2 linked regions of the Coturnix japonica genome follow. The protein of the gene in region 1 purifies or fractionates together with the protein of each later gene. This does not show direct contact. Links are inferred from orthologs where the notes say so. Each region holds a gene or a part of one and is shown on either strand. Other genes may lie near its edges.

Region 1 (8,051 bases):
CACGCTGAGCCCACAGTAGAAAGAACAGTGTTACAGGTGATCTGTTAGGGTACGATGTGAGTCAGATTGAAGACACGATCCAAAGCAGTTCCAACCTGTTTTCCATGAGTCTGTTCTGAACAAAGATCTATTTACAACAGTTTTCAACTGCTTGAGGAAAAGCTACCCTGGATTTCAAATCACCAGTGCTTCAATTCTCTCTTTGCACACAACGGGTCCATCTCGGAAGCACCTTGAATAAATACGCTGTAGTAGAACTGATGCAGAAGTAGTCTGTCCCCAGTGTTAAAATTACGAGCAGTGGAAGAGAAGCTTTTGCACGCTTCGACATTTCATATTGCTCAGGCACCAAGGATCAGTTATCATCAGCACAGTACATTTCACCCTTAGGTTTTCACCAGTGCTGCAGTCCATTCCTCCCGTAGATAAATGAACACTTGGGCTACGTTTTTATCCTTTCACTTGTTATAATCTGAATTCATTTATATATACAAAACGAGAGACAGGAAAAAGTTGTATTAATCCAACCACAGGCACCTTCACCTTGTAGTGACAAAGCCTAGACAAGGCAGCTGCACTTACTTCAGGAGCATCTATCAAATTCAGTGTTCCAATACCAAACAGAGAGAAACAAGAATGTCAGGTCATACAACGCCAATACTTTTCAGTGGGCCCTTGACTGTTAGGTGCAAAACCCCCCCAAAACCAAAGAACCGAAAAAGAAAATCTTTCCACAATATTAGTTATGTTTAGAATGCTACACAATGAATAAATTACATCTTTGTGGGATACTGTTCCTTTTACTTCTGTATCTCAAAGAAATTCCCAACTAATTAATTAGAGCAAGAAATTACATTGAGCAGGATAACGTTTTAAAATGAAAGAAATGATTCAGAAACACCAATCAAAGATAATTTGATTATGATTAGCTGTGCTGAAGTCTAAGTCATTAAAATTGATGGAGGATGTTGTTACACTGGTCTATTCTATGTAATCCATTACCTACGCTACGCTCTGTAGTTCAACTCCAACAAATGGTATCTGATGATTCAATATTGAAGACTATGATACTTTCCATGTGCCACTTGCTTTCCCACACCAACATGTCCAATAAAAAAAAGAATCAGTAGCGAGTAGTTCTGCAAAAATTCATCACTAGGAGAACTTTAGCTAACACATCATTCCGATTTTTACCTGCTAGCATTCTACATGTCTAAATATGGCTGTTTGATTCTGAACAGTCATTATTCCACAAAAGTTACAGCTGTGGTTTGGTAAGAAATCATTCCCTGTGCTTTCTGAGGCCTGCCCATAGGTACATTTTCTCCTGTGCTCTCAGCTGAAGTGACGAGCAAGACGTGCAGACCTATAATCAACACGCAGCTGAACAAAGGAGTGAAGGATGTTCTTGTCCAGATTAGCAAGTTGTTCACCCGAGCAAACTTGCTTTAAGTTATCCGGGGCTACAACCAGAAGATTGCAAAGTGCATGCAAAGTATCAAAGAGCTGCAACACCAGCGCAATCTGTGGTTAAGAAAAGAAAAAGAAAGAAAAAAAAGAGGTATTAAGAGTAAAAACTGACCTAGGTCTTAAAACACAACATCCATCAAGATTCTCAAAAGACATCTCCCCTATAGAGAATACATCTCAGTCATTCTGTGTATAAATATATAGAGGCACGTGGAATGATAGCAAAAAAAAACCCAAGCACAATTACAAAATAACTAAGCTAGCTTGCTATTTCTCACTGTATGCATATGTTGTTTTAAGTACAAATCTATACTGCGACTTAAAAATCTATTGAGCTGCTTACAAAGACACAAACTGAAGGCTACAAAGATGCTTTTGATTTCTTTCCTCAAGACATCAGTGAGAAAACTAAGGGAGGGATGATGGTTTGTTTGTTTGTTTTTAAGACTAGTCCAGAAAAAAACTCATTGATACCAACACACATGCAATAAAAAAAGGTGGTAATTTTGATAATAGTCATTGGGAAAAAACAAAGCACTTGAAGCAAGAGAATCACAGGTCTTGGCCAGAAAGCAAATCTTAGCTTTTGTTTCAATACAAAACTATATCTAGAATAGACTAAATGCTTCCTCAGTGTATATACATATATAGTCTGCAAGCAACAAAATGGTATTAGGAGACTGCTCTTTAAGAAGTGATAAAGTACTACTAGCACAGTTAACAGCACATATAACATCAGCATATGAAATGCTGATGTTCAAACAGAAAGATTATTTTAACGAAAACTTCTCAGAAGAAATGGTAAAATATCATCTAACCAACCATCATGGCTGTACATCACCAACATACACATGACTTACCTTGAAGTCTTTGGCACACTTTCTGTACTCAGCCACGTCACAAATAGCTAACATGCCACCCATGCAGCTGTAGGAATATTGCTGCAGGTGTTCGTAGATGAGTCGATGGAAACGAACTCCAAGCTCCATCAAAACCGTGTCCACGTTCTTACCATCCATAGACTTCCGAATCTTTTCCACCTGTTTTCTAACATAGCTGCAGACTTTAACACAAGCCTTAGGAAAAAGAATAATTTAAATTATAATCAAGAAACCTGTTCTCATTAAGTGCCTTCTATGTAAGCTGAACATTAATTAGTAAGTTCTTTAAAATTCCTACAGTGCAACATCATCTGTTACCTTCCAGTTAATAATTCCAACAGGTTTTCACTTGCCAGAGACACAAGTATGCATAAAAAAGAAGGATGCAAGACAACATTCCACCAAATTAAACTTTGTGTCAGTTCAGATTAGTCTGCACTGTTAATTTAAGCAACAATTAACAAAGGGGGGGACAATCAAGACAACTAAAACCTCGGCAGCTGTAGTTGTAAACCCAATTTAACAGCCATCTTCACTCTTCCCACACACTACCAGCCTCTACAACCAACTGCTCCACTCTTCCCATTTTCACCCAGCTTCATATATTCAGATATATTCCCCCCATTAACAACAGTTTGTTCTCTACTTCTCTCTATTTTGCTCCTTTGTGTTTGATATCAATCAAGTGCATTTCAAGCTATACTGATGAGCTGGAACTTAATTTACTTACGTTAGTATACTGAATCAAAACGTTGTTTTCATCCTCTGGCTTAAAATCTGTCTTTTTCTGCTCTGCAGCCAAGATGTGCTTCATCTGTCCAATCATACAATTCAATGTCCTGTAAAGTTACAAAGAACACTCAAGGTTTTGAAGGGAATGTTCTCATTTCCTTGATTTTTATATTTACATATTGTAAAGTGGCCTTATACAAAAGCATGTAGCATATAACAACGAGGAAAAAACCTCACTGCTTAACATTTCATCTATAGAATATATACCAATGGCAAACATGGAAAACGAGGGATTGAAGTTACAGTGCAATTCTCTAAAAAAGACAAGCTTGATTTTAAGAAAGCCATTAAGAAAAACAGTAGGAGGGAAAAAACAAACAAGCAACCATGCTGGCCAGTTGGTCTTAAAGGGGACACATTAACTGTGAAGTAACCAACTCAATTCCAGCTCTTCAGTGGAACTGGATAACATCCTTCATTGCTGAGGGAATGAGACAGACAAAGGAAGAGTTCCAAATGCTTATTTTAGTAGAATTAGATAACACCGTGCATTATTCAGCAGCAAGCATCAGAAAACATTGGTAAAGTGAAATAAAAGGAAGGACAGGGGAAGAATATTTAAGTCCCAAAAGGCAGTAAGTGGATCCTTTAAAACTCCCTTTCTATGCATAGAGACTCAAATCTGCATTTCAGGTGTACCACAGTCAACGATCTACGTGCAAACAAATTACAGCCTCTTAAATTTCTGTTTTCAATAAATACTCCCAAGAGGCTGTTTGCACAGAATACAAACTGACAGAAAGCCATTAGAGCTACTTTTGGTTGACTCGTAAATCACTTCTGCAGAGGCAGGCAATTTTTGTGAATACCATTCCAGAAGCTCCTGTAGGACTCATTCAGACTGCACAGTGTTGATGCCTTTAACTCTAGAAATTACTTGTATTAGCAATTTCAGCATTAGAAATTGCTTTATTTTTCAAACTAGATCATTCCTTTCGGCAAGGCAATCAATTCTTAGCAGCAGGGGTACGACAAAGCAGCATGTAAGCAAGAACACACATTTTACATGTAACATTCATCTGAAAGCTAACCTCTCCTTTACCTGTAAAAGTGCCAGTGTTTATGAAGACTCCATCCACAAACCTTTGAGCACACTGTTTTCCAACAGGGACTTGTTCTCCTAAGTCTTACTACCACTTTTAAGACATTATTTGCTTGACACAGTTATAAACTATTCTAACGTTTGGACTGACCCATGCCTGTCTAGAACCAAGCTTATGGTCACTGTGGTTCAAGTATTTCAAGCTTTGCATTTAAGCCTGTTCCAGTAGGAACAGCTAAAATCTCAATCGTTACACACATATGTTCCATCCCCACTATTCTTTCTGCACCTGCAGAAAATGCCTTTAAGAAACAACTTGCAGAGCATTCTGGAAATACATACAATCTCTCTCCTATCTCCACAGGAATCACCCTATAGGACACAAATACAATGCCTACTTTTCCCATACAGTGCTGCTCTCAGCCCTTTCCAGTGTGGAGTGACAGTAAGGTAAAACAGAATGAGTGCACTCTCAACATAACAGAATTATTTACTACCGTCTTTCTTAGGTAAGGTCAGAAAACTGCCACATAAATATGACCCTCTAAACAAACAAAATCTAAGTTTCGTGCATAGAATAACGTAGAAAAAAGAAATAACTTTGTGTTCAGAAAGATTTAATCCAGAAAAGGGAACCAAATAATAGATCCCAAAGGAGTTTTAAAAGAATTGGTGGTTAATAAAGTTTAAATCTCTACTTGCCGATCAATGCCCATATCCAGCTTCACTTCCATTTGTTCTATGATATCCTTTTTCTTCTGAAGGCATTCAGATAGTTTAGGAGACGAACTGCAACAGCATAAGGAGTTATGTGAGAAAGGGTCAGAGTACCAAAACAAATCTGTTTGCTGGGACTGCTTCTTAAATCAGGGATGTGTGAATATTTCCTGTTCCACAGAAAAGGACTAATTTAGGTGGAGTTAGCTGGCTTCAGATCAACACATCCATAGCCGTGTGACCCCAAGCAGAATTTGTGGAGCACTGACTGGCACGGAACTGATTCACAACACATCAGTGTGCTCTACCTTGAGCATATCCAACCAGCAGCTCGTAACATGTCCATGTAATTCACATGTTGCTCCATGGCATGGCCAGCTTCTTCCCCTGCAGAGACTCTGCAATCTCTGCATCCCTGACATCTCCAGCTCACTCCAAGATGCAGCCATAAAACCACCACTAGCCCAGTAAAATGCAGCAGCAAGATCTCTGCAAAGCAACTTGTCCCTCATGCCTATCAGTATTCTCAATGCCTCTCCCCCCTTGGTTATCTAAGCTATCTCTGGTTAGGCTGAGGTTGGACTTGATGATCTTCAAGGTCTTTTCCAACCTGGGTAATTCTATGATTCCAAGTGTAACTTCCCTTCCTCCTCCCCCCCATGAGAGTATTTCATCTTCCTGCAACATCAAGCTGAACCACTCCAAGAATAAACTCTTCTTAACAGAGATGAGGAAAGGAAAAAAAGCCTGCTCTGTTCACCAAAAATTACCATTCACCGTGGAAATGCAGATCAAAATAAAAGTACCTGATTAATGGCATCAAATGATCATTGAACTGTTTGTCAAACAAATGGAAAATAGTATTGGCCTGGTGGACAACATCCAAGAAATAAAGATTTGCGTTCTTTGAATCAGAGGAGGGAATGCCTAAAGGAAAGAAGGATTCATTAATACCATAACGATACACAGTTCTTTAATTAGAATGATATTTTAAATATGCAGATTTTGCCACGAGTGCTAAAATCACATGCTAAATGTTGGAAACGTTCACCGTGGTGCCATGTACAGAATACTTCTCATAGGTTTCACTTAACCAATACATTTTGAACATGACCAATCAATAAGGCTCTGCAAAGGACCTGCAAAGATGATCTCCACAAAAAGGCCAGTGAGATGAAGTGCTCAAAAAAATATTATACTCACCAGCAAGGCCTGTTTCTAATGCATAATCAATGTGTTCAGTGCATAAGAACTCTACAAGCATAGAAAAAATCCTGAAGGCGTTCTTCGGTAAGTCAGATGGATCAGAGAGCTTAAAAGAAAAAGAAGAACTTTCATTCTAAAGGTCAGTTTTACATATATTTGAAAGTTTACCCAATATCGAGTAGAGGATAAGCTTAAAGTGTAACAAGTATTTCAGAAAAACTGGAATTTCTTTTTAAATTAAAAGCATCCGCACAGGGAACTATTGAGGAACAGCCTTTAGTATCAACAAACTCTTTGGTACTAACAGGTAAAATGAAGACAATATGCTGCAGGGTGCAACGGAAAGCAAAAATATACAGAGCTTCTAATAATGGCAGTGATAATAAATGAAGGAAGGCATTAATACAGTTGTAAAAACACAAACATCCAGCTGTGATTTCTGTAATCACCAAAACCACACACTGCTCAGGACTGAAATGAGGTACCTGGTAAAGGTGACTCAATACAACCCTGCCTTTTTTCACTGAGTTTTTGCCATTGACCACAGCTAGAGACAGTGCAGCTGTTCTAGCACTGTCTCAGTGCCTCAGAAAAAAAACAATACAGTCTGAACTGCGGTGACATTTATCACAGTTCAGCTGGAGCCAACAGAGCATGAAAATTTTATTAAGTGAAGTGCCCCCATGTACACAGAGCATCTCTACCTTCATGAACTAGAAGCAACACAGGATTTGGGGCAGCAACTTGTCTGCAAATCCATTTTCTAAAGAAAAACATGACAGGGCTTTTGCATGCAAAAAAATAGAGCTTTGGTTTTCAAGGAATTAAGTGGAGGCTTTCAGAAGATTGGAGTATGATTAATATTGCAATTAAGGTCAATTTGCACAAGAACACTCCAAGAGATTTCCACAGGATACCTAAAAAATAAACAAAAAACCCTACCCTGTTAGGGACATTTCCAAGCACAGAAATGTTTCAATACATGGTTAGGTAGGAACCATCAGCCTTGTTCTCCTAAATCAGTCATGGTTGGGACACATAACATACCAGTGTGCATCTGTCATACAATGAAGTATTCCAGTTTGCTAGCCAGTCATAGAATGGCCCAGGCTGGAAAGGACCACAAGGATCATGAAGCTCCAACCCCTTTACCACAGGCAGGGCCACCAACCTCCATGTTTAATACCAGACCAGGCTGCCCACAGCCCCATCCAACTTGGTCATGAACAGCTCCACGGATGGGGCATGAATGGGCCAGTACTTAACTGTTCCTTTGCAAAGTGAATTGCTCTGATCACAAACACAATCTCAGCAGCATATGGCGACACAAAAGGTTTTTAATGTGCCTGTAATTCTGAAAGTCTCCTTATTTCCGAAGATCCATTTTGCACTCAACTGGTTTTCCCAATGTAACATATGCAATTGGTTTTAGAACAAGAAAAACCTGACCCTAACAGAGGGGGGGAAAAAAAGTATGCAAAATAGGAAGTTTGTACTATGATTTTAACAAGTTCCTAGCACCAACCACACTGAGAAAAAGGAAAAGATGATCTACCTGCATTCACTGACTTCCACCACTAAGAATGTGGTCATCCCTACATGTACAGGTAATACCATGCTGTACCTATATTTTGTTACATGCCTGCCGCCCTCTCACAATGTTGAATATTAAAGTTTCTGAATAAAGAAGGTTAGAACCTCTTCTACATTACGCTAATTTAGAATGTCAGAGGTATCTAAACTATTGTTAGGAATAGCTGTGTTCAGCTATGAAATATTCCCTAGAAATTTACTAAAGTATCCAATTCAATTTCATGGGTTTTCACTTACACTTGAGTATGAAAATGTAGGTTACGGGCAATAAAACAGGTGATTCAGTTAGAAGGAAAACCTTATTGGGTAAAACAGATTCTTAAAGAACAGTACAGAGTTATCAAGGCAGA
Region 2 (8,293 bases), on another chromosome or scaffold:
GCCAAATACTTCAAGCTCAGTGTATAAACAAAAGTGATGTCATTTTACTACACCAGCTCCAATGATCTTCACTTAGATCTGCACTATGATCTTCAGTGACTCTGAAAACAGTTTGCTTCTACTTCATTTCCTGTGTAGTGATTTAAAAGATTCAAGAAGACACCAAGGTAAAATTCTGGCCAGAGGATAGATTCCTTTATTTTCAGTGTTACCATTTCTTTTTCAGCTTTGCTTTAAAACTACACGTGCTTCTTTTTAATCACAGTATTTAATATCTGCACGAGATAGGTTCTTACTATTTAAAGTATTAGATAAAGAACAGTGCGCCCCCGCCAATCCCCACCAAAAATCTAAACAACAACAAAGTTACAGGCACAGGTGGTAAAAGACAAAAACAAATCTGGTGTCAAATTTTGCACTGATTAATTTTTAAAATTTAATTAATAACCCATTAAGGGTTTGCTTGACATCTGCTGTCAAAAGAGTATTTCTGCTACGGACAGGGGATGTAGTTTAGACATGAAATGGTTCCCAGCTGCAAGAAGTCTTCTTCCAGATGTACAGTAAGCAAAGGCAATGGAAGAGAACCAGCTGCTAGGATAACAAATTGAAAAGGCCCTTTTGACACAAGCCTTGCTGGTATGCCTGATCTAACAAAGATAGATCATTCATTGCGTGGTGAAAAAAATCTCAGTGTGGCACAGAAGACAGACCATTGCAGTTTAAGTATCCATCTCCCTTCTTCATGCTACATACAACTGCTGTTATATCCTGGCTCAAAAAGCACTTGCTTGTACAATATTCTGAGTGCTGCAAAAATTGCCTTCTTTCAACAGTTAGAACAACAAAAACCCCATCACTATGACTGAACTATTATACTTGAGTATCAAGAACTACCTCTATGTTGGGAACACTGAAAACATATTTTGCAGACTGAAGGGCAGTAGAAAGACCACGCTACCACTTTCTTAGTGTTTCCACGCGCAGGTTTGGTTTCTTAAGGGTATTAACAGCTTATATACTCTAAAATTACACATATCACAAAAAGACCAGTTAGAAGATGCTTTCAGTCAGTTTGAAGATAACTGTCCCTATCCATTTTAGCTTAGATGATCATGAAACCTGTCCAGCCAATACTGAAGGCTAAGCAGTAACCATTGGCCACACAGGAAACGGTCCAATCTCCATAGCTTCTTTTTCTGGTACTCACAGTATGAATCTCATTGCTTGATTCATTTTGGCTAGCTGCCTAGTGCCCCAGGCAGATTTTCAACTAAACCTCATATATTTACATCTATTTTCATGCCATTTTACATTATTATATCCTCCAGGTTTCCTGTACTCCAACAAGTCTGAAAAGCTGAAGACCATACTAAAGATCTAAAATTATGCCCCAAAACTAGGGGAATTGCCAAATAAAGTTAAAAATTACAAATATAACAATTTTTTAATTGAAGGAAACTGTTTTGTATCCAGATACCAGGTCTGAAAGTCCTCAGGCTTCTCCCTGTCTTAGTTCAAAGCTCAGAAGAAGTAACTCAGGATTTAGCCAAAAAAAGGCACAAAATATCATCAGCACAATTCAGTTTGTCATCCACGTACCTCTTGCTAGACATACTAGAAATACCACTTCGAGTATATTGGTTCTCTATGTTAAATTTTATATTTGTAGCCACCAGAAGTATTCATTTTCCTTGTTTTAGTCTCATCTGTATCTTCTTAACAAATAACTGTATATGAAGTAAAAGCAGCAAACCAGCTTTATCTACCTCAGAACCTTCCAGCAGGCAGCAATAGCAGAGAGCAATCAGATTTATATGGTTTCTGTTATTGCTTCAGGAAATCACAATCGTAATTTAAAAAAATGCCATTTACAAAGGGGCACTCATTAGACAAAGGTAATGAATCCACACAGAAAAGTACATTTACTTCTTGTCAATACTGGAGCTTTGTCTTGACTGTCATTACTAGTGGCCCAGACAAGACAATACATTGACGCAACCTCTTAGCGAAGATAGGAGTAGATCCTATTTCTCTGTATGAAAAAACTAAGCGTTAAGTCTCAATGGTCATCCTCCTGGTACTGCGTAAACAACTTGGAATGCACTGTTAGTTTGTTATCAATGGGTATATTTGGACTAAGTACTCTTTAGAATGCATTTGGTTTTGTTTTTTAGCCTGTTTCGGAAATAATTACAATGATAGCCACCCTTTCCCGAATCATGACCCACAAATTCTTTGAGAACGTTTGGAGATTCACAGTTAGCTACCAAACTCTGCTCCAAGAATGTTAATAGAAGACTTCTCCAGATAAGAAAAGCAAAGTTTCTTGTCTAATTCCAAATCCATTTCAGGTAGTAAAATTCATCATGTATAACAACTTACAGCTCCAGTGTGTTTCCAAAACTATTAAGTCAGCAGCAAAATTATTTGGCACAAACTCAACAGAAAGTTGAAAAATAAAACACAAGTATCTATTTATGCATTTGTATGCAATTTGTTACTCCACTGAAGAGCTTTGATTCAGTTAGCTTGAACCAACAGAAAAACTGCTAATATCAGCCACAAATGTTGGTACATTCAAGGTGGGACTATTCACATACTCTAGCAGACACCATCTGCTAGAAACAAAGGATATTATCCGTACTGAGGAGAGAAACCTAGGAAAATATCTAATGCATTTGTCAAGAGGCTGTCAACATTATGACCCACCTCCTCCTCCAAATACTTCATGTTCAAAACCTTTTCTGGAAGCATATTTTAAGGAAACTAGTCTGAAAATTTACTACTGTTATGTTATAAAAATAACTTCTGAGTTTATGAATGTATAAAACCTATTTCTGATTTCAAGTTGATTTGAGTCCTTGAAGTCATGCAAAACCAATTTGATATCTGAGCGAAAAAAAACACTCTTTTCCTTCTAGAAAATTATGCATCAGTGAAAGTAGATGAAAATAAATTCCATGTCTCAGATCACAGTCAGCACTGTTCTGCTTGGCAGTTAATACCAACTCTTCCAAGTTTCCTCTTTGCCTTCTCCCCTCTGGTGTATGTTAAAATTAAAGATCCGTGGAAAGAAGAAACTGAGTTTAGCAACTTTCCTTTGCTCAAGCTGATATTGAATGGGGAATACTATGAATCAGGATCAATATAATGTGCGCAAAAACTAAGGACCATAGAAAAGGATGAAAGAAAACTATTTAAATGATACTAGCTTTTTAAAATAAAAGTCATACTATATTAGCATTTTTTTTTTCATGCAAATATTAACTATTCATACATGCATTTACTGGGCAGACAAGTTATGCAAATTTCTCCATCTGTGAGCCAAACAAAGCTGCTAACATAATAAGTTCCTTTGATATTAAGGCTGAGGTAAGCAGAATTGTTGCAAGAAAAACACCAAAAAGGTTAAGATTTTCAAGACAAGCCGTGGAATTTAGGTCCATTTTTGATTAATTACTGGACCATGCACATCAATATTATATAGACTACTACAACAAAGAAGTCACAAGTATTTAACATCTTTGTGCCCCTATTTTTTCTCTTAGATAAGAAGCTAAGGGATTGGTATATAATGTTTTGCAACTGAAAGGAGAAAAAGATAGTTTAGAATCATTAATATTGGCCATTTTCACTAGTGAATTTTGCCCTTCACGGATATATACTGCAGGGTCGGGTCTCTCAGGTTTTTGGGAAGGATGAGAGATGGTGAGGTTTTGGAAATGTTCTGGATTTTGACTATGAGTACAAGAAATCAGCCTCGCATTCCAGCTGGTCCCATAGCACTCAATAACGTGTTGTAGCAAAAAAAAAAGTCCATGTATACTTCAAGCTACAACTTACTGACATCACTGTCACATTAAGCACACTGCGAACCCTATACCTGAAGTTGTAATCTCTGCTGAAGAACAAAATGCGAGAATCTTGCAGCAATTAATTTCACAGCACTTATCTGCCACAGCTCTGACTAAGAAAAATTACTGTGCTTCTCAGAAGAGAACATCTTAGTTGGCTTGGGATAAACAGCAACAAAACTAAACACGGGAATTACTACTCATTTTAGGAAAATCAGTAAACTTGTTAAGACTACTTGAGAAACAACACAGTATTTTCAATTTCTAATCCAGGTTATAGATTTAACTCCTAGAAACACCAGGTCTGTAGTTTCCTGCCAATTCCCTTTTGAAAATACAAAGATGTGATGGATTATGACTGGTAGCTCAATTGCTGCCACACCTTTGAAGCATCTATGAGGGTGCATTTCTTCAAGGAACAACACTGGCAGAACTAGACAGAATACAGCTAAATATTCATATAGCTCTTAATGTAAAATAGACAAACTGAATACTTAAGATAATCTCACAGGTCTGTGTTTGAACAAAAAGAATCAGTTTTGAAACTGCACTGGCAAAAAAGAGTAAGAGAACCCTGTGTTATCATTTACTGCATGTCAAGAAATTAGACTTTATCACATGGTACTTTGATGTCCTTCATAACAATACACTACTAGTATACTGTACGAAGAAGAATATAAATGGTGGATTTAACGTGACTTTCTAGTACTATTTCTAGATAGTGGATGGAGGACTATTTCTGGAGGACTGTAAACCTCAAATATACGACTGAAATTTAATGCTTTTCCCATTTAAGAAGCTTACAAGTTCTAAGTTAAAAAATAAAAAAATAAAAAAAATTCTAACAGATACTTTCCTTTTATAATAAAGAAAAAAATATATAGTTCAATATTTAGCTTTGTGAAAAGCTATCAAAATTAAGCAGAGAACAACAACAACCAAAAGCATCATTCACACACTAAAACTTGTCAAAGAAAAGGCAATGCCAAATTCCTAAGTGTCAAATACATATAAGTAACAAAAACATATCCTTGCCTTTTTGCTCTTTAACATAGCTCTCCTTACAGTTGTGCATGAGCTGTAGAATCCACTGATGCTGAGCACCGATGCACTGCCAAGCAGGGTCCCCAGGCGCATGAAGATCAGAAAGATATCTGCAAAATCCAGTCCAAAAATCACAGCTCTGACTTGACACATTAAAGGCCTCATTAAAACAGAAATATCTTCATATGTATTTATACACACATATACACAGAGATGTATAATTTTAAAAATTCAAGAACTTGTACCCAATGCAAATGCAAACTTTGCATTCTCACTTCCTAATTTAGTGAAGCAAAATTCTACTAAAAAACCCTTATAATAATATACAAAAGCACATACACTGAAAATCAGATTAGGTACGTATTTTCTGTTGTGCCTCTAGAAGTGTTCTCTGGTAACCAAGATTTTTATCTGTCAAAGTTGCAGATCAGTATTTCATGTTTCACTTGAAACCTCTGATGACATCTCAAGCATATAAAATATGGTACTTTGCTCCCCACTTTGCACGTATCAATTGGAACAGGAAAGTACAGAAGGAACTAATTTTTGGTGGCTCATTAATCCAACCATGGACATGCATAGGCAAATATAAACTAAGCCCCTGGTTGTTGTTTTTTATTTTCCATTAGGTTGTGCGCACACTGTGGGACTGCATCTTATTTATATGTATATATATATACACTCACAAACACAGGTTGCTCCAAAAGTAATGCCTCTCCTGTTTATTTCCATGGAAACTACAACTGCTACGAAGAGCAAATTCTCAGCTACAAAACACTATTTTTCAACACAGTCACCACCATTACTTCTGTATTTTCACCAGTAATGAACATGTGCCTTCATGCTGTGCTCTCAAATATCTGTCCCAGTGGAAGCAACTCACTGTCACCACTGCTGAAATGCATCACCCACTGCCTCACTGTACTCACATCTACTATTTGCTCCCCAGAAAAGCTGAGGAACACCAATGAATGTCAGTGGGTGCCATTTTTTCCTCACATGGAGGAATTTAATGGCACACCTTTGTTTCATGCTTTTGTGTCCACTGCCTCTCTGTTGCCCTCTGTCATATGGCAACAAATATTACAGAGTATTGGTGGGATTGCCATACCACCACCATCTCCATTATATTCTGCATTAAAAACACAGGACAAATTCAAAAATGCAAGATGCTCAAGATGAAATACACTAACTTCTCTTAAGCAGTGCAGTGAGCGTTTTAACTCCTTCACAGAAGTGATGTTACTATAATAACACCTAAGGTTAATTACGAATGCATTGCAAAAATTCGTCTTCCTTGTCTGCAGTACTTTCATGAACAAAATGAACTGTCAAAGGACAATTGGTGGGATAGATGAGAACATTACACAACCAACCATTTTGACAGGGTGGTATTTATAAACTATGAGCTCATGTCTTTCCTTAACATTTAGGGGGACTTTAGTCATTGTTTAGACACAATATTTAATAAATAAATAAATAAATAAATAAATACGCATATATCACTAGCACTGGAAATAATGCATCTTCTTGCTTGTTCAGCGATATGTTAAACATTACCTTAAAAGTATAAAAACAAAAAAGTTATTTTTAAGGTTTTTCAAGACTAAAATAGAAAGAAAGAAACAGTAGCTTTTTCAAGACACACAAAATGTTTAACACTCCTCATCTTAAAATGTAACTCTAACAAATATGCAATATTTACACGGCACCTAGAAGAATGAGAAGGACTAAATGCACACTGGTCACTGTCCTCATAAACTAACAAAGTAAAAGGGCAGAAGACTCCAGCATTCCCTGCCTGTGAAACTGGGCTGGGTGAACACAAAAAAACATTAAAGACCTCACACAGGTGTCAGATTTCTAAGAATGCTACCTGCATATTGCATTCGGTCTTCAACTTTTAAGATAAGTGGAAAAAAAACACTGAGAATATCAAGCCACACTGGGAGTCCTACCAACACTCAGGGCTCAAAAGCTTGCTAGTAACGTCGTCAAATGTTTCAGAGCATTCTAAATTCTGTTCCCAAGGATTGTAAAGAAGGCTAAGGTCTACTGTTAGGATAAGGTCCGAGCAACTCATGTTAGTAATCCTACCATTGGCTTGGACATAACCTTACAGAATGAGAGCAAATATAGGAATTTTAATGAAAAGTAGAAAAATGGTAAATGTTCATGAAATGTAAAGGACATTCATTATTTAGAATGAATAGTAAAAGAGTCAAAAACAAATTTAAACTCAATTCTGGATTAAAAACTTTCTATTATCTGACTCAAAATGATGCATTTTTAACACCACGCTGAAATGGAGCACAAGTTAATATGCAGTCTATTTTGAGATCTGCATCTTACAAAGGATCATTTCATACATAGCTTACAATGAGATGATTTAGAAGAAGAAATGAACATACCTTTATGATTTTTAAAAATTACAATCTCGATCACTCCATAAACAATCAAACATCAATCCAAAATCATTATATATTCAAAAAATCACAACACAATCTACTTTCAGCTTTAAAAGCAGTATTCAAACTATCATAAAAAAATAGTAACTACCCTATTTAGGAAACAATAAATATCTAATATCATAAATCCAAAGAAGACAAAAGTTGAATGACTACCTTATATAACGTTTCTGATCATGCAGTGTTGATGGAGTTTCAAGGAGTTTATCCAACAGAAGTTCTCTTAAAGCTTCTATTCTGGTTTCAACTTCAGCATAATCTAGGAGTGAGGAGAGGAAATAAATCTCACCCGTGCCTTCAGTAGTAGCATGAACTGAAAATTACATTATTTTTCTAGGACATCAGACACTTTTGGATTTATTATGGGAAAAAAATTAAATATGTACCTGACATTTTCATATACAACAGTTCTATGAAAAAATATCATACTTTGAAATCTTTCCAACAGTACTTTGGAATTATCCACAGTCCCATTTTCAGTCACTGTAACCCTTTTTTCTCTCACCAAATGTCCAGTCTTAATAAGTAAATTTGACTGTGAATATACCTTGCATAGAAAATCTGCTAGAAATATTGTTTAACTTTTCCTATATATACACATAACTTTTAAGGATTAAAATCATATGTCTCTTTTAACTACTATGTGCTTTTTAGCTTATATGCTGAGAATAAACAGAAGTAATACAATACATATCTTACATTTTTTGAATACTTGAACCTCTGTCTTTCCAAAGAGCGACTTGGCCTTTTCGTAGTCATTAATAACCACATCATAATCACCCTTAAAAACAACAATAAAAAACAAATAAACGTTTATATTTATTAAAAGGTAACAGTCATTTCATCAAAGGTTAAAGTATTTTTAAAGGTTTATACCTTCTGGATATTTCTTTCTATATTCAGTGGAAGGTTGAAAAGAAATTT

The links.
Region 2: the proteins of EXOC5 (region 1) and EXOC2 fractionate together in Homo sapiens (co-fractionation; 4 studies listed by BioGRID and IntAct, with this or other methods). This does not show direct contact. The link is inferred for Coturnix japonica from reciprocal best matches to the Homo sapiens genes EXOC5 and EXOC2.

What each region holds. Positions count from the first base shown.
Region 1 is NC_029520.1:50,523,863-50,531,913, reverse strand, and holds part of EXOC5 (exocyst complex component 5), read right to left. Parts: intron 6,215-8,051; coding exon 6,106-6,214; intron 5,830-6,105; coding exon 5,709-5,829; intron 4,975-5,708; coding exon 4,888-4,974; intron 3,191-4,887; coding exon 3,082-3,190; intron 2,547-3,081; coding exon 2,331-2,546; intron 1,525-2,330; coding exon 1,336-1,524; 3' UTR 1-1,335. UniProt on the Homo sapiens protein: Component of the exocyst complex involved in the docking of exocytic vesicles with fusion sites on the plasma membrane.
Region 2 is NC_029517.1:62,005,464-62,013,756, reverse strand, and holds part of EXOC2 (exocyst complex component 2), read right to left. Parts: coding exon 8,246-8,293; intron 8,151-8,245; coding exon 8,069-8,150; intron 7,629-8,068; coding exon 7,526-7,628; intron 5,012-7,525; coding exon 4,893-5,011; intron 1-4,892. UniProt on the Homo sapiens protein: Component of the exocyst complex involved in the docking of exocytic vesicles with fusion sites on the plasma membrane.